Lytechinus pictus: one gene and its partners. The protein of the gene in region 1 purifies or fractionates together with the protein of each later gene. This does not show direct contact. Links are inferred from orthologs where the notes say so. Each region holds a gene or a part of one and is shown on either strand. Other genes may lie near its edges. The genes, in order: SIN3-HDAC complex-associated factor-like, trinucleotide repeat-containing gene 18 protein-like, inhibitor of growth protein 1-like and histone deacetylase complex subunit SAP30L-like.

The links.
Region 2: the proteins of SIN3-HDAC complex-associated factor-like (region 1) and trinucleotide repeat-containing gene 18 protein-like purify together in Homo sapiens (affinity purification with mass spectrometry; 3 studies listed by BioGRID and IntAct, counting the BioPlex papers as one, with this or other methods). This does not show direct contact. The link is inferred for Lytechinus pictus from reciprocal best matches to the Homo sapiens genes SINHCAF and TNRC18.
Region 3: the proteins of SIN3-HDAC complex-associated factor-like (region 1) and inhibitor of growth protein 1-like purify together in Homo sapiens (affinity purification with mass spectrometry; 3 studies listed by BioGRID and IntAct, counting the BioPlex papers as one, with this or other methods). This does not show direct contact. The link is inferred for Lytechinus pictus from reciprocal best matches to the Homo sapiens genes SINHCAF and ING2.
Region 4: the proteins of SIN3-HDAC complex-associated factor-like (region 1) and histone deacetylase complex subunit SAP30L-like purify together in Homo sapiens (affinity purification with mass spectrometry; 3 studies listed by BioGRID and IntAct, counting the BioPlex papers as one, with this or other methods). This does not show direct contact. The link is inferred for Lytechinus pictus from reciprocal best matches to the Homo sapiens genes SINHCAF and SAP30L.

What each region holds. Positions count from the first base shown.
Region 1 is NC_087263.1:5,710,219-5,717,690, reverse strand, and holds the start of SIN3-HDAC complex-associated factor-like, read left to right. Parts: upstream 1-4,469; 5' UTR 4,470-4,666; intron 4,667-5,176; exon of another isoform or gene 5,177-5,504; intron 5,505-7,472. UniProt on the Homo sapiens protein: Subunit of the Sin3 deacetylase complex (Sin3/HDAC), this subunit is important for the repression of genes encoding components of the TGF-beta signaling pathway.
Region 2 is NC_087254.1:4,947,181-4,954,594, forward strand, and holds the start of trinucleotide repeat-containing gene 18 protein-like, read left to right. Parts: upstream 1-4,397; 5' UTR 4,398-4,593; coding exon 4,594-5,155; intron 5,156-7,414.
Region 3 is NC_087249.1:47,989,605-47,997,324, forward strand, and holds the start of inhibitor of growth protein 1-like, read left to right. Parts: upstream 1-4,719; 5' UTR 4,720-4,842; coding exon 4,843-4,975; intron 4,976-6,972; coding exon 6,973-7,604; 3' UTR 7,605-7,720. UniProt on the Homo sapiens protein: Seems to be involved in p53/TP53 activation and p53/TP53-dependent apoptotic pathways, probably by enhancing acetylation of p53/TP53. Component of a mSin3A-like corepressor complex, which is probably involved in deacetylation of nucleosomal histones.
Region 4 is NW_026974140.1:19,466,435-19,473,466, forward strand, and holds the start of histone deacetylase complex subunit SAP30L-like, read left to right. Parts: upstream 1-4,030; coding exon 4,031-4,303; intron 4,304-4,658; coding exon 4,659-4,787; intron 4,788-5,903; coding exon 5,904-6,002; intron 6,003-7,032.

The DNA of each region.
Region 1 (7,472 bases):
AGAAATTCAGGAAATCTTAAGGTGATGTAGCAATTTTTTGTTTTCTTATAGTCAGAAAAGGATATTAAATGTATCAGAAATTCCTCAAATGAAAAAGCATGTGACATTTTGATTACATTTCAAGAGTTTCTCAAAATAGCAGATTTGCATGATGTAGTACAGAAAAATTTGAAAATTGTAGATACTTCTCACAGATTGACATTTTTCTTCATTATGATTACTGAGGATTTACTACATTGTATTTTGTTGTTCACAGAATTATAACATTTTCATACTTTCACTTTCGCAGCTGTTCAAGTGTCACAGTACAAACATTACTTTGGCAAAATTGGAGGTCATATTTGTACATGTTTGTTCGTCAAATATTCATGTAAATATTAAGTATTTGCAATGGTAGCAATACTCTCATTCGGGTTCTTTCTTGCCAGTTTCAATATCAAATTGATAGTACTGTTATAAGAAACTTTATTTGTGAGGAATATTGTATGCAATGTAATATTATTGTCACAATTTAATGTATTCATGGCAGTTAATGTATTTGTATGCTTGTAATATAAATTATTGGTTCAGTGTGTGTTTAGGACTATTCATTATTTTGATATAGGATTGAATAAGGTTTTCTGTCTTAATAAGATTTTGGGGAATATGTATATATAAGAAGTTGACATACACTTAATTTTTTATCAATTAATAGTATACATGTAAAATTACTCATAAGTGAGAAGTTTCACTTAAAAATTCAGTTTTCTTCTGGTAGAAGCATTGTCGTCAGGTTACCATGGAGTAAGCATTTTGCGTGTTACTACGGATATGTGGATGTAAGAGATAGAGAGTCTGTGTGTGTGCGTGTGTGTGTGTGTGCGTGTGTATGTTCATCCAGTGTTCATCCAAGGTCAGCTGAGACAAGCCCTCCTAGAAGGAAGTTCACTTTAGTCAGATTTGTTTTCTTAAAGAAATTGAAAGTTTGCCATTATTTCAGGCAGTAGTTGCATAAGTGAAAAATTGCTTTCACTTGTAATTGATTCTAATGGGTTATGACTGAATATTTGAATGATTATGGTACCCTTCATGTAAATGGATTGCTTTAAAACACACCTGTTCATTAATGTACTCTCATTTAATATACAGTGGCCTGAAAGTTTGTGTAAGGTTAGCAATGACAACTACTTTAATGCATGCAAGGTGAATTTTACTTGTTGAATAGATTTATTTACAAAATGTTTAAGTCAACTGAATTGCAAACAGCAGATAAAGTAACACCAACCAAATTTTATGGTTGTTCTTACAACCTTTGTTGCTTGCTCTGACAGGTCCAACAAATACATAAAGAGTTTATGCATGCAAAAAGGATGCCACTTATTGTAATACCATTCAGTACATGGTAATTACCTATTACCAAATCCAGAGGAACAAAGTATTCATGAAATTTGACTACATTAGTGAACAGGTCTGTAATGAACATCAGCATTCTTAGGACATTTCTGTGTACATAGTTTCTGTATAATTGTCATCTTTGAAATTTGATTATGCAACACATTCTACTTGCCAGCATTTTGCCCATGATCCTTACAAAAATTGTACTGTTTGTGAAATATGGCATTGTCAGTTCTACTGCATGTTAATGCAATAAAGACTTTTCAAAGTTTCATTCAAAAGTTTTACTCAAGTGTATTTTTGTCATTGGAAGTTGTGCCAATTACAGTAAAACATACTGTAAATGGGGTCAATTTACAGTAAATTACTGTAGGGAGTGTACAGTACTGGGGGTAAATTGGGAAGGTGTACAGCATTTTACTGTAGGAAGTGTACAGTACCTCACTGTAATGCAAGGGAAATTTACAGTAGTTTACTGTAATTTAACCAAATTTACAGTAGCAACAATTCTAAAATTTGGTAAATTTTACAGTAAGCTACAGCACTTTTCACGGTATTTTCCTGTAGCTAGTTCAAATTTACAGTAATTTACTGTAGGACGAAACTACAGTAGCTTACTGTAAAATAAAAATTACAGTAAATTACCGTGCAGCAGAGTTGCCAGTAATTTACTGTAAAATCTACAGTAAACTTTTTACAGTTGTTTCAACCCTTTTCTGGTGTGGACCGATACCGGGCTGGTGTTAAATCAATACCGGTGTTTTTGCAATGTAGTGATAGGCCTATATATAGGGGGCATCAACCCCAACTTTTTTTACAGTGTACACTGGAGTCTGTATGACAGCGGGTTTTAATATGTGGTCACAGACCCTGATTGAAACTTTGATCAACAAGTGGGTCTACTCGCAAAGACTAGCACATATAAAACTTGCTCAAGTTTCAATATTCCTAAGTGCGTGGGCCTTCAGTATATACACGCAATGTATTTTTCAGGCTGCACATTCAGACCCTTAAATCGAGTGAAGTGTTTGTACAGCAGACTAAGCGGGTTTCGCCGCGTCTAGGGGGGGGGGGGGGCAAAAAGGAGGGGAAAAATGGAACAAAGCAGAAAGAAAAGTTAAATTATATTGGTCGTAGATATTTTACCTGTTGTTCTTTTGAGAGAGGAAAATAATCTCAGTGTTGGGTTGTCTCCACACCACAGGCGCGTATCCAGGGGAGTGTTTCATCAACATTTTCATCCGACAAGCTGTCAGATCTGACATCTTTCTCTGATGTTGATTGGCTGAGAGATACTGTTACTATGTAACTGTTGGATAAAATGGGACTTGTCGGATAAAACGTCCGACAAGTCCTTTCATGAAACGCCCCCCAGGAGGACGGGGATTAGGCGGGGCGTAAATCGTAAATTGCGGGCGCACCCCATAAAATTTCACCCCCCCCCCCCTTCATCCAAAAAGAACCCCATTTCTGGTCAGGATATCCAACAATTTTTTGGAGCTCGCGCTTCGCTCTCGCATCACTCATTAATAAATACGCATCCTTATGATTATAAAACTTAGTGCTTACTATATAATGTCCCGTTTTTAGGTCTAATCATAACTATTATCCGTTCATTGGGTTTAATGTAATGACTAATTATTCCAATCCAGGGCGGAAGTAAGGGATCGAGTGGGCGAAAAAGAAATAATGGTATAGTACCAACTCCGAAATAAAAATGAAAAGAGATGGTCGTACCACAATATGAGTTGCAACCCAAAATTTCACAGCTTCCTAAAATTGGCATAATGAGCCGAAAAATGAGGGGCTACATAAATCATGGCGTAAAAATTGTTAAAAAGTTGCATGCGAGCAAATCGAGCAAGCAAAAGTTTTGACATTTAATTACAAAAATCTAATTTTGTGATGGATTTTGATGAAATATTAAAAAATAATATAATATTCCACCCTTCTTTTTTTCCACTATCTTCTTTTTTCTTGGTTTTTTTTTTTTTTTTTTTTTTGGGGGGGAGGGGCAAGAGCCCCCAAGGCCCCCCCCCCCCCCCCCATCTGTACGCCACTGCTTCCTAGATACGAGAACATTAATGTACTGTAACAGGGTGCATTTTGTAAAATGCTGACTATTTGTTAAAAGCTACTGTTATCCTTGTATCTGATTGGCTCAGCCCCAGAGCAAATTGGAAAGCACTGGGAAAAAATGAATTATGAAATACTTCATGTTTAGACATTTATTACTTCAGCGCTGTCTTAAACAGGTCAGAATTAAGAGGTGTGTAACAATGACAAATTATGTATATATATTTATATCTATATATATAGTACAATGCATTACCACTTTGCCTCATTAATATATATATATATATATATATAACAAGCGCTATATACTCTCTATACATTCCGTAGATTGAAAGTCAATCAAATAGATTGTGGTCAAGGCCAATCCAAAATTCGATCGAAAGTGAAATCACATAAGATTGAATTCTAAATTTAATACATTGAAAATTCCAATCCAATTTTGGATTGGTCCCTGATTGCAATCTATTTCATTCTAAGGAATTTAGAGAGTACATACTATGCAAAGAAGCCTCTCCAAAAACAAACAAAATAACAAAAATACCAATATAACTATGTTCTGCAGATTTTTTGTAACAGGAATGATGAGCATAATTATGTTTGCTCATCTAGTTTTCAAAAGTACACTGGTTCCTCTGACCTCCTCAATGTCAACGAGAACCATGTTAGGGAATCACTTTATGACACGCCCCCCCCCCCCCAAAAAAAAAAAGCAAAAAAATGTTGGTCAACAGGATTTGAAAACCATAGATAATATATTTTTAATGATTGATTATCATTTCCAAGACTGAATAGGTGCTTTTTTTCACACGTTGGATTCAGGACAGGACACGGAGGATTAGTATATTGTTACTGGGCCGTGCTGAGCATTGTCACGGCACCCCCAGTAACAATAGATAATCCTCCGTAGCCAGGTCCATGGTTGGATTCAGTCCTATATTAAAATCAAGGACATGCAAAATCAAATCTAAGTTGTAGAATTTAACACAATCCAATAGTCTTGAATGAAAAACATTTTCATTACTTCGGCAAGAGAGGGGGCTATACCAGAAATAAATTGATTGGTCGTGAAAGACATCGTGACCACTACTCTGATCGAACACTCTTTTCATTTGTTTTTTTATTCTGAGGATTTCATATTCTATCAGCTTTCTCCCGAAGTTTGGTAAATCATATCTCCAAGAGCAATCAGTGACCTTTATATCTGTAAATTTCCAAGGTAAGACACTTTCTAGATTCGTTTATTTTTGGAAGAACATGATGTCCTATTTCGATTTTCAGAGAGATCGACCGGCGTGCCGGTATACTACCAGAACACACGTGGAGTGTACGGAGATGAACCCCGGCGCGGCGCTTGCTCACACATCATTGCCTGCGCCTTTTTCGTGTATTAGCTCGTGCCTCGGTAAAAAGTAAAACTGAAAAGGAGTGCTAAAAAATTGACACTCATGAATTTTAGCTCCATCGGCTATGACAATATGTATTCTTTTCACCATTTCCACCATTATTTTCCAACCCTCGAACTTATGCTTTGTTTCTTGCTATTTCCTCTTATTTTCGATTTCCCCCCCGGAAACAAGAGATTTCCTGTGTTTCGCATGTTTTTGTTTTTGCCCCCTCTCTCGTCTCCGATCCAACAAAGGGTTCCTCCGGTTGGTCCTGCTCGATCGACCGGGCCTTGCTGGGGGTCTTTGTTCGCGTGCCTGGCACGTGCCACTCGCGAGCCGTGGAGCCTCACAAAGCAATATATGGCCAGGATTTGGGCTTTATTCCACCCTTTGCTTTGTTCCTATTGGGTGGCTCCCAGACCAGAAGGGCCTGTAATTTATGCACACTAATCCCTGCACTGTGTGGTATTGCTGTGCTTGAGACTGAGTGATGTTTTGTTATTGTGGTCCAGCCTTTTATATGAGTCCAGAATTTGCTGAACAAAGACAAGTTTGAGGGTATTTTTCTCACATTTGCAACTTGGCAGCTCAGAAGTGAGGTTGGATTTTTATTCCCAAGGAACTTGATAAATTATAAATTAGGACATTGTCATTGACATTAGTGCTACTGTGAGTATTTTACACATATTTTATTCCAGATTCTGTTGATAATGTAATGATATGATTATGATACTAGTACAGTAGGTCTAAGTTACTCTATTCCAATTTCGATCATTTATATTTGTGGATAGTTGTTGACAGAAAGTTATCAGCTTCTTTGTGTGAACTTACATTATGATTAGGTAGTGATGATTGCAAGCCATAACTGTTGAATTATTCAACACATTTCAATATTGGATAGAATTACGATGAAAATATACGTACACTGTGCATGCCAATGTTGAGTGGATGTCACATTCCAATTATATGTTGAATCTCCATCCAAACAGTCATTGTCATTATGCAGACAGTCTCGTTTATTTGCTCTGACAGCATTTAAAATGGTCTTGTTTAGTCTAGGACTAGGTAGCCTATTTTTCTATCTCATTGAAATGGATATCATTATTATTTTCTTAGGGACAGTAAATTAATTTGTGTCAAGCCTTGATGCCCTTGTTGACAGCTGATCTTCTAAATTTAAATAAGATAAGTTTTATGATGATGTCATTTATTGTCACACACATTATACTGTATGTGTAATCATATATTTAAAAAGGCCTACTTGTAACTTTCAATCAGTGCAGAACGTATTTTGTGTACATTATTAATTTCATCAATATTACAAATCAATATTGTCATAGTTTGCAGCAGGGAGATGGCTAATATAAACTGAAACCTTCCACTTCCAGCCTTAGATACTAATTACATGAAGATTCACATGTACATGTACCATTTATAGGCAAGTTTGTGTTCTTGTCAAGACATTTTGTTTATTCATTTTAGCATTCATTGCATGCTGAAATGACACAACATGGCATTCAATTTAGATTCTTTCCAATGTCATGACTACACACTTACTGCACTTGTATATTATTTTGTACGCCAAGTAATGTATGCCAAGTTCTTTGTTTAGAGTATGAGGAGGAGGTCCCATTGTTGATTTGGGGCGTCAGTGCAAGCTGTTGGAAAATTATTCTTTTGATCTTTCTATCCTTGTTGAGCTTCTGTGAGCCCTTTGTTGTCCAATTATGTAACCCCCCCCCCCCCAGGAACACAATGACAGTTAACAATACATGTACAGTACATGTATGTGGTACAATGTAGTGTTATTTGCCCACAAGTATGCATTCTATTCATGAAAAATCATGTAAAAAAGTTATTTATTTATTTCTTTTACATTAAATTATTCATATGATTATTTATTCATTATTTTTCAATTTATATATTTATTTATTCATTTATTCATTTATTCACTCATTCATTCACTCATTCATTATTTATTTATTCATTCATTAATTAAAAAGTCAAAAAGGGGCCTAAGCTTTCGATCCTAGCAGAATCTTCGTCGGAGGCAAAATGACAAACATATAAAGTGGAACAACCATAATATAGACCACAAACAAGCTACAGCAACACTAGAAACAAGGAGACAAAAGGGGCATTAGTGAGTAGAGAAGACCAATCAGGTTAGTGAAGGGGATGAAAGAAAAGGAGTAGGCAGACACAAAGGGAAGTTAGTGTAAGTAAGGCCAAGAGGGATTAAGATAATGAGGCAGGCAACATCAAACAGGATCTGGAACAAAACAGTGATAGAGGGATGAATAACTAGAGAATTAGTGAGAGGTGGGTCAAACAGGTTACAAAGAAAGGCTGGACACTCCAGTTGGCCGCCATTTTAACCTCCCCAACCACTCCATCACTCACATGATGCTACAGGGCATCGAATCTTTAGGTACCCGTCCTGACTCAGTCCGTACTAGCAGGGAGAAGCTTTGGATGAGACGACTTCGCACCACCCAACCTCATGGCCTGAACATCCAAGAGGGGAACGACTGATTTTCTTTCCTATCCACTTTCAATTTATATATACATATAATTTTTCCCCTCAGCTCTTTTGAATAGTTACATTATAGTTTCTTACTCTACTTTCCTCCCATA
Region 2 (7,414 bases), on another chromosome or scaffold:
ATTCCACCCTTTTTCACGTAAGCCCCAAGGTTTTCTAGAAACATTGCGATTTTGTATTTCTTAGGATGCATGATGCACGAAAGAAAGTGAAATCTTAAAGTGATGATAGTGACCCCCCAAAAAAAAACGATCTTAAAATTATTACATGTTTAATTTTGACCCCTTAAATTTAAAGTAAAAGCAAAAAACAAAACAAATTAGAATAAAAAATTGGCAAACTGATGCGAAACTGATATCCCTACTTGTTCAAAAGTGTTCTATTACATGAAATTATGATTACTCAAATTTTGTCTTCCAAGAGCTGAATAAATTGGATTGAGAACAAGATTTTCCTTCCTGCATCTTATTAAATAGGAGGACAAATCCTGTACACATGTATGAAAAAAATGAAATAATTTATTATGATTTCATATAATACCATAAGAAAAGGGAAAGTGGGGATGTGATATCATCAGCCCACTCAATGAATATTCGTGACAGCGTGTATCCAACTGTTTTCTCAAAATATTGCTAAATTTGACAATTCAATAACTTCGTTATCAGATTTTGATGAAGTTTTAAACATTTTGCTTGGTGAATTATACTCTATTTATTTCTATATGAATATTTTCAGCCCGGTGTACCCCTTTAAGATCTAACCTGAATTGTTTGGTAATAAAAAAAATGAATGTATGCAAAGCAATTTATGGAACGAACAAAAATGATTTCCAGTTGGTACTTAAACATTTAGAGATGGATCACGAAGTAAAAAGCAGAGATCTATGAAGGAATTTTCCTATTGGAGGAAAACATCCCAACAATTTAAAAAGAGTGCCTCCCGTTGTAATGCGCAGATCAGAGTGCACAAAATTAAGAACGTGAAATTCATCATAACCATCAGACCATGGGGCTATCAACAATGCATTTACTATAACTTATATATTTAAAAAAAATAAATTTAGCCACCCCCTCTCCTAATATATATATGCTGTATATACATATAAATATATATAATTATGTGTGCGTGTGTGTATATATATATATTTGAGAGGATGCTATAAATACAGCGAGAATAAGCAATGAGACGTAGCCGGGGTTCAGTTCATCAAGTTTAATCACAAGCTTTCGGCCATAATTGGGCCTTCTTCAGGTATCTGAAGTACAAGAGAAACATGTGGCCATAATGTACAAACAAATTTGCGGAGTATATATATATATATATGTATATGAAGTATTTTATTTTTGTTCAATATTATGTCTCCAAAATGTATATGTATCGATATCTCTCACCCCCGCCCATTCCTTTCGTATTATACTACTGGGACCTCGGCAAGCCTCGAAGGCATCAGTGGTTCTTCCATCACTCAGAACATGCTCAGAACTGTCATGTAGAAATGGTCGTGAACGAAACATGAAAGTAAACTTCTGTCTCCATGAAAAGAGAGAACTCAAAAGACCTGTTTCATGAAGACTTGCTATAATAACAGATACACAATCTTCATTAAAAGAATTACTACTATCAGCCAATCAAAGCAAAGGATTTCCGTCGCTTTTCACTTGTATTGCAAATTTACAAGTTTTACGTAACGGGGCCCCAGATGAACCAAATTCACTGCCAGACAACGTACACACCTTGCTAAAATGTGAGAGCCACTCTTCACTCACATGCACGCCGCATATGTCGGCCGGGATCACTCGGGAAGAATGAATATGAACTCGCCTCCATGCTCTAGGTGCTTGAGGGTCAAGTTTGTATCACGTGACCCAGAATCAGCGTTGTTACCCTATTATGAATTGGCGCCGAGCCAACTTTATAATTTGAAATCCATTGACAACACATCACACGTGTTGGGATGATGTATATGAATTAACAATCCGAGGATTAGCTGGACAGGTTGATGGTATAAAGTATTGATTTATATTAATTTTTTCCAATTAAAGAATAGGCCTTTCCAAGGATGGTGGAAGATATCCCCTACACCGAATAAAAACTCACCATCTTCTTGGTGGTGTTAATGGCAAAAGCATACGTTATGCTGCTCATGGAGGACCATGGTTCTGCTTAAACCATATCGCTCACCCTTTGCGATTTACCCAAGTAAATTCAATATCGTCGTCAAAACACTCTTGGGTTGTCGTCTGATGGTCAGCTCATAAGAGGAGACGAAATAAATGATACATTGATTCTCCTACTATGTCGTTCAGTGTGCTTTTCTGGTAAGCGCGCCCACGATGATGTTGATACACCTGTAAGCCTATCACCGAAATGAGATGCTAGACTCAATCAGCATCAACTATAAGAAACATGCAACATGAACGGGGTCAAAGCCCTTTTCCCGCAGCACTTAAAACCGATGTCGGGGACATTGCATGTGAAGCGTAATCTTGTATGTAGTCGTAGTAGTCATGAACGTCAAGGCCTTGTTTTCCACTTTCTTCGTCCCATCGTGGGCAAAGCCGCCCCCATTTTCTATTCTTTTGAACGATTTTATTCGTGAGCTTGAGAAAAGTCGGCACTCGTATTGACGAGGGGATCCGTGCTACTTCATTAAAATTCGCGGTGAATGATGTTATGGAGAAGGAAGAGTTATCGTGAGACATGTTGCCTCAAATGGGGACAAAAGATCACAGTTCTTGTTCACTTAAACTGAAAATCTAATTAAGCCATAATTGTATTGTGAAGGGAGGTTTGAAAATGTTCAGTCTGTTTTGCAGATTTGATGGGTTTGTCATTATTGAACGAAAAGCTGCCAATTCTGTAATGAATTTTAGATTCTAAAGCTACACACACATATAAACATATATATATATATATATATATATACATATATTGCTACAACTATTGAATTATTTAAGATTTATATGGCAGTGTCGGCGAACTGTTATCCGCTATCATTTTGAAAGGATTTTGTGATGTGTTTAGGGAGAATTTATACCAGTCGGAATACAGGCCTTCATGGATTTCTGATGGACATGGTCTGACCATGGAGTAGTAGCTCTATGGTCCTATTAGGTCCATGGTCTGACTGATGCATAATGCTCATGATTGCAGTATAGAATCGCATTTCGTATGTGCTTTTGGCGATGACCCTTTTCCATCTAATCACCACGCAGCAATCAAGATACCCAGTCTTTCTATATTTATTACTGCCGGTGAAGTCGTTCCTGTGCCTTTTATCAAAGTAAGCTTGATTGAGATCTCTAAAGCTCAAATAGCAAGTCGTGGACATGAAATGATGTGTCCATGTTTATGCATGCCCTTTATCTTGATATGCAGAAGAACCTTTGAACACATTGCCAGAGGCACACCAATTCTGATGCGTGCATTTAAAATGCGCACGCAGATGATACCTGATGTGGGTAAAGGGGGCGCTGGGGCGCTGGAGACGATGAAAATCCCACTAAATGAACACTACGGTGGTCGTGAGAATAGCTGCTACTAACCTGGCGAATTTGTCTACGTCTCGCTCTGCATACACAAGTTTCTATTTGGTTTTGTCGTCTTGAATGCTGTTTTCCTCGCGAGACATAATCGCCCAATTCATGTTAATTTTCTTGTGCGTTTTCACAAATGCAAACACGGTGAGGGACTTTGCAAGCAGCAGCTATGTCACGCTTGCTTTCGAAAGTAGAAAACTAGAGGAGAGAGGGAGGAAAGCAGCGGTGTCCCCGGTAGGCCTGGAGAATAGCATGAATTGAGTCGCCTCAATTCGCTCCCTCATGCATGCGCGAAAGCGGAGGAGAATTCATTGCATAGGAAATAAGCCAGGCACAATAGGAGGTGGTTGAGGGCTCGTATTATTATCAAAGAAAAAGAATATGCGACTAAAGTGAGTTTTAGAGGGGAAGAAAAGGGGGTAAATGTGCGTGTGTGTGTGTGTGTGTGTGTGTGTGAAAACAGAGAATAATAGAATAGAAACTCAGTGAGCGGACAGCGATAATGAAATTCGTCTGAAGGGAAGAAATATTTTACCCAAAGAGAAGGAAAAATAATTTCCACGATGTTTAGGCCCATCATGTTTGTGTGTGTCAATTCTCAAAATATAGATCTTGGCCAATGGTACACGAATCCCTTGTTTTTGCTTTTGTGTTCCACAACAATCGGGGAAAGTGATATTTTGAGAAATGTGTGGATAATGGTTTTCACAACCTCTGACATTCTTGTGTATTCCTCTCGGTTTGGTTATTTAAACACGCTTACAATATAGATGTGGCTATCTTTTCGAAGCATCGATAGAAAAAAAAAAAACTCGCATTCCTGTATGTTTGCACCATCCGATACATGAATGAATGAATAAGAATCAATGAATAAATAAATGAATAGTAAGTTTAAATGTTTCAAAGTCTTTCCAAATTGTATGTAGGCGTAGGCGCTCGAACATAGACGAAATACTTACCAGTCTCCTCATTTCATTTGGTTATTTACAGGAACTCGGAAGATAATGGCTCTGCTGCCAGAGACCTCACCATGGAACTTATAAACAGTAAGCTATAAATCATCTAGCATTTTGCTAGGGTTTCCGTTTGTCTAGGCTAACCGGGTGTTAACCCGGAAAGCCTAGGCATTGGAGGCTAGATTCGGCTTGTCAATTCGAACGGGATCTTCACTGGCCAATGGCACAATCGCCTTGCGTTCGGCCAGGGCACGGTGCAGCATCACCAACCAGCTTCGACCACCATCGAGAGAAGGAGGAACCAGAGACCTCTCTGAAACCACTGGGAGAGCAGAAGCAGCCAAAGGAGCACCTAGAAAAGGGACAACCTCGAGACAATCCGTCAGCACCGAAGCAGCAACAATTACCAAAAGACACTTCATCACCTCCAAGACAAGAACCCAACCCTGATAAACCGGAAACAGGGAATGATCGACAGCCTACGTACCGCCAAGTAACCTTACCGGCTTCAGCAACCTCTGCAGAAGCAGCAGCAGCGACACCAGCGGCAGCCCCTGTATCAGTTTCCGTATCAAGCAAGCATTCTCTTCGTAGTCCAGTATTTGCTGATCTTCCTGTATCATCGGCGTCATCGTCCAAGATCAACGAAACATCACACCCCAAACTTGGGGGATCGAAATTACGAGGAATCAATGTTGGTACCAGTAGCGGTATTCATAACTCTACCATAACAATCACAACTAAAGGGAAGCCAACATATGACAGAATGGAAGCTTTAGGAGGTGAGTGTTGCTCTTGGTTGCTCTCTGTGAACTATGAAGAAAATGCTTCATTTCATACTTCCTGTTGACCGAAAATATTAGTCATTCTTATGGACAAATATTGACAAAAATTTTCCTAGTGCAAAATTCGTACAAGTGCAAGTTTATTGCTCGCAAATATTGCACCCTTTTTCCAGAGGCTACATATAGGTATGTTTTCAGAATGACATTATTCTGTATAATAAAAAGAACGTATTTTTTCTTTTAATCGCGAAACTATATGTATTTATTAATTTCTTTGCGATAAGTTCATGTCCGTAATTACCATGGATAGATGATAGATAGTCATGGTAGGGGAAGATCAAGAAGTGGGAGCATGATGTCGACTATGACCACATGCAGACTGTGTATATGTCACACTACGATTTACCACATAAGCTGATTTAATAAAGCATTAATAGACATCTGGAAATATGCTGACTCATTAATCATAGCCACTTTGACAAATAACGGCAAGTGATAGAAACAAAAAGGAGCATTATAGAGATTACTTTGAATGCGTTTTGACGTTGGTATTATTGCGGCAGTCAGACGCCGATCTTTGGAGAAACGGATGAAATTATCTCCTACCAATTGCAAAATGGCGCTGAATTAGGAAATGGGAAAACATAGTCACTGCAGTGAATTGTGTGTTCGTGGGACAAACGGATTCCAAACTTTACCCCTTGGATTTAGTAACAGGAGGGAAACGCAGTTTTATACGCCGAAATCGTAGTTGGTGAAATGTCAAGTTATGTTTGAGATGAAGTATTAATGATTCGGATTCAGATTCATATATTGGTACATATAAAAAAAAACCATAGGAATTAGTCCTCCACTGGCAGTGCATTATACACAGTAAAAAAAATTATACAAAGCTGTTTACTATATGAACCTTACAGTAATTGTTTAAACAGTTTAAACAAGTGTTTAAATCTTAAGCAACAATGTTTAATTTTCAATATCTAATTTTCAATAAATTAAACATGATTGTTTAAACGGTTAAACAAATGCTGTAAGGTTCATATAGTAAACAGCGTTGTATAAAATCTTAAACAGCGTTTTTACTGTGTAAATACATAAATAAACACTAATGACGTATGTATTTACAAATATTTAACATTGAAGGAATATAAATGAACATGTATTGCAATACAATAAAAAGGAATTAGCAAAATAATTACTCATACGACAGAATGAAAAACGAGTAGCGAGAGATAATCGAGGAGCATGGATGGAAGAGATCATGTAAAAGCGAGAAGAAAGAAGTCAACTGGATAGAAAAATGAGACATAGAGTGGCAAGTAAAGAAAGGGAAGAGAGAAAAGGGAGAATTTGGGGAAAAGAAGGGAAACAGAGGGAAAGGGAGAGATAGAGAGAAGGGAAACAATACAATATGAAGATAATATACACAGCTGCACTTAAAGTAATTACATAGTAAGAAGAATACATTAAACACCAGCTTTGTGATGCATGAATGGAAATGACATAGGCAAGAATGGGCAGGAGGTCGGACAACTAGCGTTTTAACATGAAATTTGGACTGACCTATAAATGATATAATTTACATAAAGAAATAATAATAATATAGACAGTGCAGACTGGCAAGACATTGTCAAGGATAATGACGTTCGCATCAAACATCCGTCAGGCTAATTATAAACTTCGGGGCAATGCTCCACAGGCACACGAAAGTTGATGAGAAAGTCACTTGCAAAGAGACGGGCATTTTTTGACCGGCAAGATGTTTTCCAGACGGATAATTACTTGAAATGGCAATAGAATAGGATTGTGTGCAAAACCATGGACGCATATACATGTATATGAAAACTTACTGGCTGTCACTGTAATTTTATGCGTTTTTCTTGAAGTCGGGTGTATACGACATTTTACCCGACCGGATAATAAAATGCCTCTTTATCAAGTTCATGGTATATTTTCACCACCCCTTAATTTTAATTAGTTCAAGCCACAAAGTGTATTCTTTTTCATGATTTTCTATGAAAACAAAAACAGTAACTGGTTTTTTTTTTCGCTTATCATACTTACGGTTCTACCTTGGATCTAAGTCTAATTATATGTTTTGATAAAGATCTGTATAATTAGGATTAGAGTCTGAGAAAAGCTGTTTGTCCAATTAGCTAATTCCAAATCATTGGGCCATTCTTGATTTAAATTTCATGTAGATTTTAGAGTTTACATGTCACCGAGACATTGAAAATCCAATAGTGGGATGGAGTC
Region 3 (7,720 bases), on another chromosome or scaffold:
TTGTTTTTCTCCATTCACTTTGTACACAAATCTCCCCATTGATATTATGTGTAAATGTCCCATACATAACATGTTGTCCCATACGTAACATTTTTTAAATTAACTTTTAATTAAAAAGTAAACTCTATTTTTCAAACTTTTTGTGATTTAACATTTTCATACTTAATAAATTAGAACTTCCCAGAGATGCAACAATACAAGTATTGTATTATGAGAAATAACTTTAAAAAACATCCTCACAATGTTACTTATGGGACATTCCATCCTTGGACAAGACCTAATTTGCATAATTAATTAGATGACACCACTTTTTTCCCCCCAAAGTAATAAGATGTTAGGGGGTCCATGTCCCACCTATGACTAAATCTCAGAAATTTTGTTATTATTTTCTATGAGTTTTTGAAATTGTCCCATACGTAACTCCCATTTTACCAATTATGCAAATTAAATGCCCCAAATTAGCATAAATATGCATATTATCACATTTTTCCTAATGAAATTTTAAAATTCAACATTTGGGCTTTCTTACCCCACCAAAGATAACTTCTTATAAATTAAGGATGAAATTTTGCCTTCTAGGGTGACCTTTTTTTGGACTTGCCCTACCATCTTGCCTGTGGGGAATCTACAGGTAGGACTATGGTCAGTGGCGTACCGTGGGTCACGGCATTGGGGGGGCACCAGAAAATTTTTGAGTCACTTAGTGAGCGCGCTCAGTTGCCAGGTTTACTGACCTAATAGAGACATTTTAAGGACAGTGCCATAAAACAAATATGTATCCCACTGATCAAATAATGCGAGCGCGAAGCGCGAGCTGAAAATTTTTGATATTCAGACCTAAAAAGGGACATTATAAGCAAATTTTTGTTATGATGATACGTACCTTTCTCGCTAAACAAACAATGAGAGCGCGAAGCGCGAGCTGAAATTTTTGTATATATTAACCCCAAACAGGGACATTTTAAGGACTATATTTTAGGAATCCATTAGGAGTATACATATCTCACCAATCACCATAGTCATCTTATTCGAGTACCAAGCGCTTGCTGATTTTGTACATCTAAACACATGAAGCAATTGCACTCATTGTAATCATGATTATCATCTGCATCTCCCTAATCGAGTATTGCAAGGACTTTAGAAGGGAAAATTAAAAAAATTCAGACCTGAAGAGGGGCATTTTAAGGCTTGTTTGTAGGATTGCGCGAAGACCATACGTATTTTACTATCCAAATTATGCGAGTGCAAAGCGCGAGCTGAAAATTTTTGGTATTCAGATCAGAAAAAGGGACATTTTAAGGACTGATTTTAGGAATTCATGAAGAGCAGACACATCTCACCAATCTACTGATGCAAACATAAGCACGGACAGGAAATGTTTAATATTAAGACCTTATAATGGGGCGATCACTTTAAGTAGTCATGAAAAAGAAGCATAATTATGTCACTATATAAAACAATAATAACTCGAAGTGCGAGAAATATATTTGGCTTATATTGACTTGAAAACGGGAGGTTTGAGTACAACAGGATTATATATCTCGTTAAACAGACAATGCGAGCACCAGGAACAATGAAGACATACATGTAGGCCCTGAGCAAATTATGTTTCATATAAAGTAATGAAAAAAAAATGTTTCTTATGTAATATAACATTAAACATAACTATAATATAACATTTAAATGAACAATAATTTCTTCTTTCCCACTACGTTTCTCTTCCTTTCTCGTTCTTTTTCTCCTTTTCCCCCGTTTTTTTTTTTGGCCAGCCGATTGGGGGGGCACGTGCCCCCCCCCCCCCATGCCCCCCTGTAGTTACGCCACTGACTATCATGGTATGCCAATGCCAATGCCAATACACAGCACACACTTTAAAAAATCATTAAAATCACCAAAAATACTAATTTCCATACAGTTGCAATTTAGTAACTTGGGAGTAATTTTGTATTCACCAGAGCGCTCGAAAACTTGAAGTTTGGGCATATTTTTTGTACGCCCTCTATTGTTGGAAAGTAATATGGCAAGACAATTGTCATTTTTCAATACTGAGGTTTTAGCGGGTTTTTTTTTTTTTTTTACCTGACTGCTAAGAAAACACGAATGCCTGTGAGCAAGCAACCAGGGGACCAACGGCTTAAGGTCCTCTCCGAGGGACCTGGTAATGAGGATTAATGCCTCTGCAAAGGGCACTAGCGCACCACTTGGGAATCGAACCCGGGTCACCGGAATCCGAAACCCCCGCTCTACCGGATGAGCTATCGCGCCTCCCTATCTCTATTTTTAATTAAGAAAAAAATAATTTAAAGAATCAAATTTACTTAAGAGCCAAGTTTAAAATATATATAAGTTTAATATATTATGATGAATAGCTGTAATGGAAACTGACAGTGTCAAAGAATCAAGCATTTGTCCCAAAGAAAATGAGAAAATATGCCAAACATTGCCAACCTTATTTCACCACACAGGCCGAGTAGTAACACTAACCTTGTTCACTGAATGAGTGGTTATATCATAACCTTGTTCATTGAATGAGTGACACTAACCAGTCGAAGCGCTCGTCCAAAATTGGGATTGTCCCAAAAAACAAGGATATCCTCATAAACACAAGACAAATCATGTCTTGATAAATTGAGAATGTCCTTGTTTATGGGGACGTTTTTTTTTCACTTCCCCCTACGGGACAAAGACAGCAATGAATTACGGGAATTGAGAGTGCTAAAAAAAAAAGATTCAGTCACTCAGTGCATGACCTCAATTCCCTCCAGTTCACCGTCTATTTTTCATGAATTACTGACTACTGTCTTCCAATAATCTTGTTATGAAACCTGATATGTTTAGAATTCTACATTGACTAGCACACTTGATTGGTGTTGGCACTTGACAGGTGAATGAACTTTCCTAGATTTCTTGTGTGAAGACTGAAGGAATCCTTATAAACCCACCTATGGGTACATTACCGCCGCCGTGCACAGGATAACCGCTGGCACGGCACTTGCAATAAGTTTTTTATTCTTATTTAAAAATTTGAAATTTATCTACATTTTACATGAAGTAAGCTTTGGATATGAAACTTACCGAACGATATGAAGCCAATTTCAATTCCTCTCTGTCTTTCTGGTACTTTATATCGATGATTTTTCTTGATGTCGAAGCAGGCATGGCCCCGATTAGCTGGTTCTCTCTATACGCACAGAGAGGGCGCGCGATATTATTAAATAAACTTGCTTGTTTACGTCGTTTACGTCAGATCAGCTGTACTGCTGGCTGCGTTCTAGGCGCTCCGCATTTTTTTCACTGTTCAGCGTTATTTTATGATGTAGCGCCATCAGCGATTATACGTGACATGCAACCTGTTGATTTTTGGTACAATTTCCTATTATGCGCCGGCGACTTGAATCTAGACTGTTCGATAGGAAAAATTCGCATTTCGATTGTTGTTTGCGTAATTTCCACCGCAGTATTAAGGATCGGACGGAGTAACTGGCTGAGATTTGGAGGTAAGCGTTTAAAATCCATTTTTATAGATAAGTTCGTGCTGATTTTCAAAATTAGATTACATTAATAAGATTAAGATTACTAAATTTAGTATATTGTGAAGATTTAGGCGTGTTTCATATTCTCACATTCGTGTGATGAATGAAAACGTCAAAATTAGACATTATGAAATGACATGCGTTGTGCGAGGTTAGTAATAGTATACTAACCTCGCATGTTGTGTGAGTGTTATAAACCGAGACAGTCCCTGTAATTTGTAAACTGGGACTGAGTCTGACTCTGAGACTGAGTCTGAGTGGGACGATCCCAATTTTCTGACCAGCGCCTCAAGGAGTCAAGGCTCAGCTCTACTTTACTAGTACTGCTAACAAAGTAACAGAAAAAAAGGTTATAATAACCTTGTTCATACTTCAATAGAAGACAAATCTAAAGTCTAAGCTCTAATGACAACGTTATGCCTATGCCTGGCCGGGGAGAGATGCATGGGTGGGGGCATCCCATTTACCGGCACCTGCAACTCTTACGCACACATATCCAATGGTATTGTCACAATTCTGTGATCCAGTAATTCCAATTGCACAGGAGCTAAATCCCCAAATATCATTATCATTTTCAGACCGTCCTATACCATGTATACCTATTCCTTGCAAATTTGTTCGTCCTCACGTTATAGGGCTAGACACGAATAAAAACAGTGCTACTGGAATGATAAGTCTGTAACTGCAAGAAAATAAAGGTAGAAGAAAAAAGGGTGAACACAACTACTTGCCTTCCAAAAGTAAACTGCGGGTCGACTCGTCCAGTTGCTCTTGCCGGCGCGGCAGGACGTGTGGCCTCCCGTGCAGCGGGATCGCATGATGCAGAGCATGCACTAGCTAGTGCATGCCCCGGCGGCTCCGGCTGGCCTTCCAATTCCAACGTTGGGTCGGTCCAGCTGTTCCGTATTTCCCGCGACTCTAACTTCCGGGTAAGAATATTCCATTCGGCTAAAATGAAAGTAGATATAGTGCGATGATAATAATTTCTTTTTGAAAATATTCTCAATTTTTTTTCCATCTTTTTCAACTTGAATAAGCTTAATGATTAAGGAATTTCTACACTGAGAAAGAAAAAACATCAAAATTTGATTATTCTCAAAGCTTTGAACTTTTTAACAACAAATAGTTTACCTTCATGAAATGGCACGGTCGAAGATTGACCTTTCAACTTCATCTAATTACGCATGCGCTGCAGTATTTTAATGTTTGATTCTGCTCAATCAACGTCGTCGGAGCTATGACATTTTGAAAACTACGTTTTCGAATTTTCATATTATTTCGTTAATCCTGGACTGAATCTGTGATCAAGATGAGTCATTCGGCTGCAAATATGTACCAAACCACTAGTTATGTAGAAGACTACTTGGATTGCATCGAGTCGCTTCCAAATGATCTGCAAAGGAGCGTGTCTCAAATCCGTGAGATCGACAATACGTATCAGAGTAAGTGCTATTTCACACCAACGGGAATGTAAGCTGCGCGTCCCCCGGCCTATCGGCTAGCAAGACAAGGCATTCCGCTGATTAACCTCAAATCGCCGCTCCAGATGAAGTCGTCAATCTTGTCCCAACCCTGGATGCATTGTTTGGCTCTCATTGTCAGTTATTGTCTTTTTTGTAGGGAAGATAACACCAAAAAATTATCCATATATGTCAAAATGAAATATATTATCTACGACTACGTGGAATGTTTCTTGGGCACTTGGCTTGGGGTTAATTTGTATGACTATCTATGATGACGTATCTACAGTACTATCTAGATAGTAGATCTTGTTCATGAATGAGTGGTGTCTCAGTGTCTTTGACACATGTGACTGTGAGGCTGAAAATATGTGTTCTTCTGATGAAACAATTAAGTGATGCCGACAGCACCACACCATACATGTTACTTAAGTTATCCAACCCTTGGGTAAAACTAAAAGTTACTTTATGCTTAGCCTAACTTAGCTCTGAATAGGGACTAGCTAGGCTAGCCCTCGGCTCGAGTTATTCTTTTCCTTTTATTTAATTTGTGGCTTTCTTGTCTCGTCATTTAATGGACAAATTCATTCATGATCCTGATGCCCAGCCATGGCCATGGTAAAATGTGACTAGAAAATATTTCATGTTTCTTGGGGTTTTTGTCTCACCTGCATAGCAGTGTGAGACTATAGGCGCCGCTTTTCCGACCGCGGCGGCGGCGGCGTCAACACCAAATCTAAACCTAATGAGGTTAAGTTTTTGAAATGACAGCATAACTTAGAAAGTATATGGACCTAGTTCATGAAACTTGGCCATAAGGTTAATCAAGTATTACTGAACATCCTGCCTGAGTTTCATGTCACATGACCAAGTTCAAAGGTCATTTAGGGTCAATGAACTGAGACCATGTTGGGGGAATCGACATCAAAATCTTAACCTAAGGTTAAGTTTTTGAAATGTCATCATAACTTAGAAAATATATAGACCTAGTTCATGAAACTTAGACATAAGGTTAATTAAGTATCACTGAACATCCTGCATGAGTTTCACGTCACATGACCAAGGTCAAAGGTCATTTAGGGTCAATGAACTTTGGCCGAATTGGTGATATCTGTTGAATTACCATCATAACTTTGAAAGTTTATGGATCTGATTCATGAAACTTGGACATAAGAGTAATCAAGTATCACTGAACATCCTGTGCGAGTTTCAGGTCACATGATCAAGGCCAAAGGTCATGTAAGGTCGATGAACTTTGGCCATGTTGGGGGTACTTGTTGAATTACCATCATATCTCTGTAAGTGTATTGGTCTAGTTCATAAAACATGGACATAAGAGTAACCAAGTATCACTGAACATCTTGTGCAAGTTATAGTAGTTTTCAAAGTCAGCACTGCTGCTATATTGAATCGCGTGATGCAGGTGAGACCGCCAGAGGCATTCCACTTGTTTTATATTGAAATTTAATATTGGGAAGCTGAAAGTATGTGTAGTTGCTGATGTGACAGCACCACAACTCTCATGATAAATTCCTTTATTCTTTGATAATGATATAATTTTATCGGCATTTTGGTACGGTAACAAAAATATACAGTTGTTACAGTAGTTAAATTTATTCCCATTTGCAACGTTTCATACCTAGGCAAAAAAACTAATTTGGTGGCTTAAAAAATTTGATTAAATAACCAGGAAGGCAAGTTGGGTTATATTTTCAGGGAATTTCTGCTTAAGTTATGTTTACTTAATAATGGGATAAAAATAGAACTGATGGTTGGGATGATATTATTTTATTACTGTGAAGGTTTAAATTGTCCTATGTCAGATAAAAGGTACCCATTATTCAATTGGAGCCATGCACTGATGTAAGAAGCTGACTAACACCAATATTAACACGAAAAGAAGGCCTAGATCTACACCAAACTTGAAAGAACTTAAAAGCATGAAGCACTTGTAATTATTTTGTTTTTTTCATCTTCAGGTGTTTTGAGAGAAATCAAGCAGCTCTATGAGACACTGGTGACCAAGGATCTGGACAATCACAACAAACGGCGAACCCTCATCCACCTCCATCGATGTCTCATCCAGAGTCAGGAGCTTGGAGACGAGAAGCTCCAGTTTGCATCTCAGATATCGGAGATCGTTGAGAACCGCCTCCGCCAGATGAACATGAATCGCACCCATCTCGAGATCATGGAGAAGCCTGAGCATCCTCCTGACCCCCCTCCAAAGACGAAGAAGGCTGCCCCAGTGGTCATAGAGCAGGAAGCGCCTGCGGAGAAAGCAAGCAAGCGTTTGAGACGGGGCCGCAACAGTGATGTCAAGGAGAAAGACAACCACAGGGTGCCGCAGCAGAACGACAACAACCCCAAGGCCAAGAAGAAGAAGCGTAATAAGACTAAGGAGAGGGACATCTTGCCCATCGATCCTCCCATCGACCCCAACGAACCCACGTACTGTCTTTGCCAGCAAGTCTCTTATGGAGATATGGTTGGATGTGACAATAAAGACTGTCCGTATGAATGGTTTCATTTTGGATGCGTTGGACTCTCATCAAAACCCAAAGGCAAGTGGTACTGTCCAAAATGCTTGCCGGAAGTCAAGAAAAAATGATCGCCACAGACTAAATTTTTAGAGCCTATTTTACTTTTCAAGCATTTTATTTAATATGTTAGCATCTCGCACAACATGCTACATGTAGATATTTGTATAAATATTGTATATAAACT
Region 4 (7,032 bases), on another chromosome or scaffold:
TAATTTAAAGGCCAAGTCCACCCCAACAAAAAAGTTGATTTGAATATAAAGAGGAAAAAAAAACGTTCATAACGCTGAAAATTTCATCAAAATCAGATAAAATAAGAAAGTTATAACATTTTGAAGTTTAGCTTAATTTGAAATAATAGTTACATATGCACATCCAGGTCGATATGCAAATGAGGAAACTGATGATGCCATCCACTCACTATTTCTTTAGTATTGTATTATATGAAATATGATATTTTCCCATTTTCTTCTCATTGTCAAGTGAAACAATTTCTCCCTGAACATATGGTTCATTCACGTTGGCCCTTATTGTAAAAAATGTGAAAAATGAAATATTGTATAATAAAAAAAAAAAAAATAGCGAGGCCGGAACTGTATCATTTGCACGTAAATGAGTTGTGCATATAGGGCCTATATTACTTTTTTTGTGAAAAATAAGCGAAACTTTAAAATATCACAACTTTCTTATTTTACATCCGATTTAGATGAAATTTCCAGCGTTATGCTAGTTTGATATATCTCTATTTATTCAAATCAACATTTTTTCTGGGGTGAACTTGACCTTTAAACAAAATATAAATTCCTTTTATGTAACGAAAAATAAGGTTATAACACCCCAAGTTCAACTACGACTAATTCAAAGAAGGTAAACGATAATTTTTTAATTCAGATTATACTTTCTTCAAATTTTCAAAGTCATTCATGCCTGAATGATCGAGGAATCTTCTGAGGATACCAGGTGAAAGAGAAGATATTCTAAGCTTTACAATGAGTGCCGTCTTCATTTTGTATAGCCATTATAACTTACAGAATGAATAAAAATAAATGAAAAATAAATGAAATGTATGGCCCTGTATCAACATAAGACTTCAGATAACAAAAAGATGAAAATATGATAAATAAATGAATAGATAATAAATAAATAAATGAACTTCCACACATAAAAAGAATTAAAATCGAATGATACCTCTGGCTGTCTATATCACAGGAAAAAACTGATAACAAATAAATTAAATGATTAATAAATAAATATAAATACATTAATTAATCAATTAAAATAGATTGATAAATAAATTAAATGAACTTCCACAAATAAAAAGAATTAAAAACGAATCATAACTCTGATTCTCTATATCACAAAAAAAAATTAACTGAAAACAAATGAATTAAATGATTAATGAATAAATATAAATACATTAATTAAACAATTAAAATATATAGGTTGATAAATAAATAAATGTAATTTTAAACATAAAAATAATTAAAAACCAATTGATACCTCTGACTCTCTACATCACAAAAGAAAAAAAAACTGAAAACAAATAAATCAAATGATTAATGAATAAATATAAATAAATCGACAAATAAATTTCTGAAGAAGTAAATTATTATCTCTCCTTAATGTTTATTTGGAAAATAAATTGGAGCCCCCCCCCTGCCTCCTACAGCGCCGCCCATGATATTCTTTCCTTGTTTATTTGGAAAATAAACTGAAGCCCCCCCCCTCCCCCCTACAGCGCCGCCCATGATAATTCTCACCGGCCGGGGAAACAAGCCCCACGACCACGTTATTTTCCATTATATAACAGCGTAAGGGACCTCGATAACGAGTATACTACTATAGCCGTCATCCGAGCCCCACACACGTGCGAATGCTGGGACAAGCGCATTGGACGGGGCCAGTTTCGCGACTATCTTAGGATGCAAGCTTAATATATACTCGTGATATAGGCCCCGCTACTGTGTTGGAGTGTCTGAAGTGCCGTAGTGCGGGGCCTATATAACGATTATAGTACTTTACTCGTGAAACAGGCCCCGCAAACGGACATTCTAAGCCATTCAACACAGCAGCGGGGCCTATATCACGAGTATATATAGTGAGCTGAAGTTAGCAACCTAGATATTGAGGTAGTATAATCGATTACAAGTTTTTCTCGAGCGGGGCCTATATCACGATTTTGCCACATTTATTTGCACACAGACCATTCCATAATTTGATATTTTAAAGTTTAAAATGATACCATATACTGATCAGTGCAGTGACCAAGACCAAGTCAATAAAAAATAGTTTAGTAACATCGCATGTTGTGTGAGTGGACCAAGTCGAGAAGTCCATGCCATGCCATGGGCATGGCCATGGACATGGTGACAAGTTCAAGTTCTTGCCTGTTGTTGGTTGACTGAATTCAGTGCAAGATTAGCATTTATTTAAACTTCTTTTATAATTTTAATGAAGATTCTAAGTAATTTGGAATTGCAATTCGTATTCTGTAATGTACGTATCAACAGACTTGCACGGGAACTAAAATATGTGCAAGAAATTAATTCAAAGACAAAGATTATTCAAACCACTCATTCAGTGAACAAGGTTATATCATAACCTTGTTCATTGAATGAGTGGATATAACCTTGTTCTCGGTTAAATCTCCATGTGTGGCAAAATAAGGATGGCAATGTTTGGCTTATTTTCTCTTTTTCTTTGGGACAAGTGCTTGATTTTTTTACACTGACAGTTTCCATTACACCTATTCGTCATACAACTTGGCCCTTTAAGTAAATTTGATTCTTTAAATTATTTTTTTCTTAATTAAAAATATTATTTTCCACCAATAGAGGGCGTACACAAAAATATGCCCAAAATTCAAGTTTTTGAGCGCTCTAGTGAATACAAAAATTATTCCCAAGTTACTAATGAAAAATAAATTGCAACTGTACGGAAATAAGTAATTTTGGTCACAAAAGTGATATTTTTTAAAGTGTGTGCTCTGTACAGCATTGGCATGCCATAGTCCAACCTGTAGATTCCCCACAGGCAGGGTGGTTGCAGTAAACAAGTGATTCAAACAGTGCAAAAATGAGAATCTAGGTATAAAAAATGAACAATAATAATTAGATTAATACATACTCAGATTTCCACAGTCATTCAAACTCAAGTCTCTTAAAAAAACCCTGCATATTTTTAATATAAATACAATTCAATCTATTGTGTTTTCATGTAGAGGTCGATTTTGTATACCATTAATTAATTCCTAAAATATTCATTTCAATCTTCATAAGAAATGAAAGTATTCATAACCATAATTGAAAATATAACATAATTTTTTTTGGTGGCCCGAAAAATATAAAGAAAAACATTAATTAAAAATGAATAAAACAAACTTCTAAAATATTAATTCTGCAGCCACTACCACTAGGTTACTTTCACTTTGTACATCTTGTATGTAAATCTTGTTTGCTGTTATTTTACTTTGCTAATTGATTTGTGGTAATATATAAATTGTTCTATCATTGTAAATATGAAATGATTGAAAGAGAATAAAAGATTTGTATTGTTCTCAGGTTATGTGGACTTTAAAAAAAATCTCTGTATAGACACACACTCATAATAGTAAAGTAAATAAATAGTGCATAGCAAACTCAGATAGATGTACAAAACAGTACGTAAGATCATGGCAGTGACAAAAATGGAAATTGTCACACATTTTGTTTAATTCATCATTTATTATGCACTCCAAGTCTCCAATAAAAAGATAAATGCAGATTTGTTACCATATATGAGTTTATCCATGTGACATTATTGATTCACAGAGATCAGAGAAACTTCACTACATTTCTTTAGTTTAACTATTTTACTCTTGAGTGTTGTACTGTCAAACATAGGCATGAATACATGTATATCTTTAATATGCAAGTCTTATCAAACACATGCATCATGATGCATGTAAATGGTATCTCTGTATTAACTTTTATTCTAAAGAATTATCCATTATCATTTTGCTCAAATAGCAATCTAGAATTTGTGTGTATTTGAAAAGTGACAGTTGGTAATCTAATATTTATTTTCCCTGTTTAAAATCTAGTAAAATGTTTTCCAAGAAGTTTTTTTTCCCCTCAACAAAACATTAAATGAAGACGACCAGTGACATTCTAGTTTTCCTCTATGTATGTATCATGTAGGCAAATATATTCATGAACAGTGCCTGGATTGGTAATTTTTTTCTTATCTTTTGTCCATACCAGAATGAAAGAGAAAAGCAGCCCATTTAAATCTAGCTCAATGAAATCGAGCATGAATCCTTCGACGACAAAATTGTCGTCTTCAACATCATCGCAGCGCAAGATGAATGGCTTTAGTACAACAGAGGATGACAGTCGTGACTCCGGACATGGTCAGATATGTTGTTTGGTGGACGATGGTCAGCGCTGTTCAAGACCTGCAGGGAATGCATGCTATAGTAAACGTATTGCTAAGACAGTTCAACAGAGGAAATTAAAACTGACTATTGATCACAGTGTGAGTATGCACATACATCAACTTCCAAATGACAATATTGAGAGGTGAACATGTTCTTGAAAGAATTATATTTGTGAGAAACCATTTATATTTATGTAATTTTGTGAAATAATTTATAATTAACCTTATTAGAGCTCTTTATCTTTTTACTTGCTTGTCAGTGAGTGCCAATCTCTCTCTTGTGAGCAGTGACTGTATCTTTTTTCAGCATCATCTTTTTTCAGATGTATTAACTTCATGAAGTTGTCATTGCCATAATTAGGTGATCATGAAAGTCATAGAAGTACACTGTTTCTTTGATATTGGTGATTTTTTTAAAATAATCATTATCTATCTTCATGGTATTTTTAAACAGGTGAGGCATATCTATATCTGTGACTTTCACAAGTCTATGATACAAAGTGTTCGTAGTACCAAGAAGAGGAAGAAAGGAAGTGATGAAGATGGTGGAATATCTCCAGATCATGATCTTGATGTACCAGAGGTATTTTCTTTGTGAATCATTTTTCAATCATTCACCAATTTATTTATCATGATGACTCAGAAATAAGAATTTTTTATTTATTTTTTTTTATTTTATATATCCCAACAATAAAGACTGATAGGCCTTTCCTTTAAAAAAAAATCTTAGATCCTTAGTTGTATACAAGTGTGATATACTTGCAGTTTCCCCGGGAACACAAGTATTGGGCAATTCCAAGCAAAAGTGGAAATTTTCCAAAAATTTATTTTGGCTCTATTTTAATTCTGGATCAAATTTTTCTATCAAAACTCATATGGGATTTCATAAATACAAAAGGGGAACATAATTAGACACAAATTTTTTTCTTACGCATCTCCTTATAGGAGAATCCAAACCATACAAAAAATTCTATACATGGGACTATGAATGTTTTTTTTCCTTAATTTCAATTTAGCGGAAAACTATTGCTTGTTTTGTAAAATTTTCTTTTGGATAATCTGAAGGTCATCATTTTACATCATATCAAAAGAAAGTTTTTTAAATATAAGTTCATTTTACGTTGCCTGTGGGTGAATATTTCAGATGTCACTCCGTAACCGAATATGGGTTTATGTTTGAAGTTGTAATTACTGAAAAAATACACCAATTTTTAATGTAATGCAGCATATTAAAGCTAGAACAACATAGAATCCAATCAATAACTCAAAATTGTGATAGCCATTTAAAGTTCACAGAGTTTGAGCAATATGTTTTCTCCTCAAATATGCATGTCCATTTTGCGTCACTCTGTAACCATGTTTATGAATATTCATATCTCATAAATTCAGTGGATCAAAATAACAAATGTTATTATTTTTAAAGTGGGCTTCATCAACTACTGTCAGGTACCATTTCTTTGAAAATAACTATTTAAATATGGGTGATATCTTTGTTTGAATGCTAAAATTTGTTTCTGAATATCTCTCCATTACCTTGGAACTGCTCTATTGATAGAGTTCATTAAAACATGAAACCCAATTGCTCTTGAAATACCCGAAGCTTCAAGGGAGATAAACTATAAACCCATACCATACTGTACGTTTGTAACATTTACTGAAAAATGTCATGAATGTCACTGACTATTTTCTTTCTCTACAGGTTGATTTGTTTCATTTACAAGTGAATACTTTAAGAAGATACAAGAGACATTATAAGATTCAGACCAAACCAGGGCTCAACAAGGCACAACTTGCTGATGTAAGTTCAAGGAACTATCACAAATTATGGGTGGGGGTATGTTTATTTCTTGCCGCAGCACTATTTTGTTGTAGAATCCATTTTAAGAAGCAGTTTTCTAATGAAAATTGATATTCTTAACCCTAAAAAGACTGGGGGGGGGGGGCTGATTCAGCCCCCCCCTCGACATTTTTCGCGATAAATCCGCCGCTTGAAAGTTTTTGACCGTGTCACTTGCTGACTTTTTACTTTCAAGTCTCGCGCGACTTTCGAGACCAAAATTGTGACCCCCGGGTACGCGGTTCCGAAATTACGCAACATTTTGTAAGTGCATGCAGACCCAAAATTACTCAAAAACGTAAATTTGTGTACAAATCCAATGCAAATAGTGTTTTTAGCCAAAATTCATAAATGTATCATTATTTTTCCTTTTACTGCTTAAAATCAATTAATTTTATCTTTTTAATGGTAAAAATAAAGTCCCCGATAATTTCCATTGAAAAACAATAAAAAACAAAAAGTCAAAAAACAAAGAAATACATAAGAAATTTAGAAAACAATAGAATACATAAGAAAATAAATGTGATGTTGAAATTTTTTAAAAATAAATTTGATCAGATGCCTATCTAGAGTATGTGAAACAAAAATTACCATTTTAGGGGCATTATTTTATTAATTAGAGCAAACTTATGATTTTACGCATAAATTAGCATAATTAATGAGCAATGAGATTTTTTGCAGAATTTGATATTATAGTTTTGTTGATAATGCCATGGGTAACGCGTGTGCCAATTTTCGTCGCGATCGCGCGGTCGACGGCCGAGATCATAAGGGGGGGCTGAATCAGCCCCCCCCCCCAGTCTTCTTAGGCGTCGAAATAGCCCAGTCTATTTAGGGTTAACACATGGAAAAGGACTTCATTAGTTTTTATTTTTGTGTGTGGGGGGGGGGGGGTTACTTTGTAGAAATAGTAACGATCCTACAAACCCCTTTGAGAGAGGTATTTATATGATTTTTTTGCCATGGTCAGCAGTGACATAGCTCAGGATGG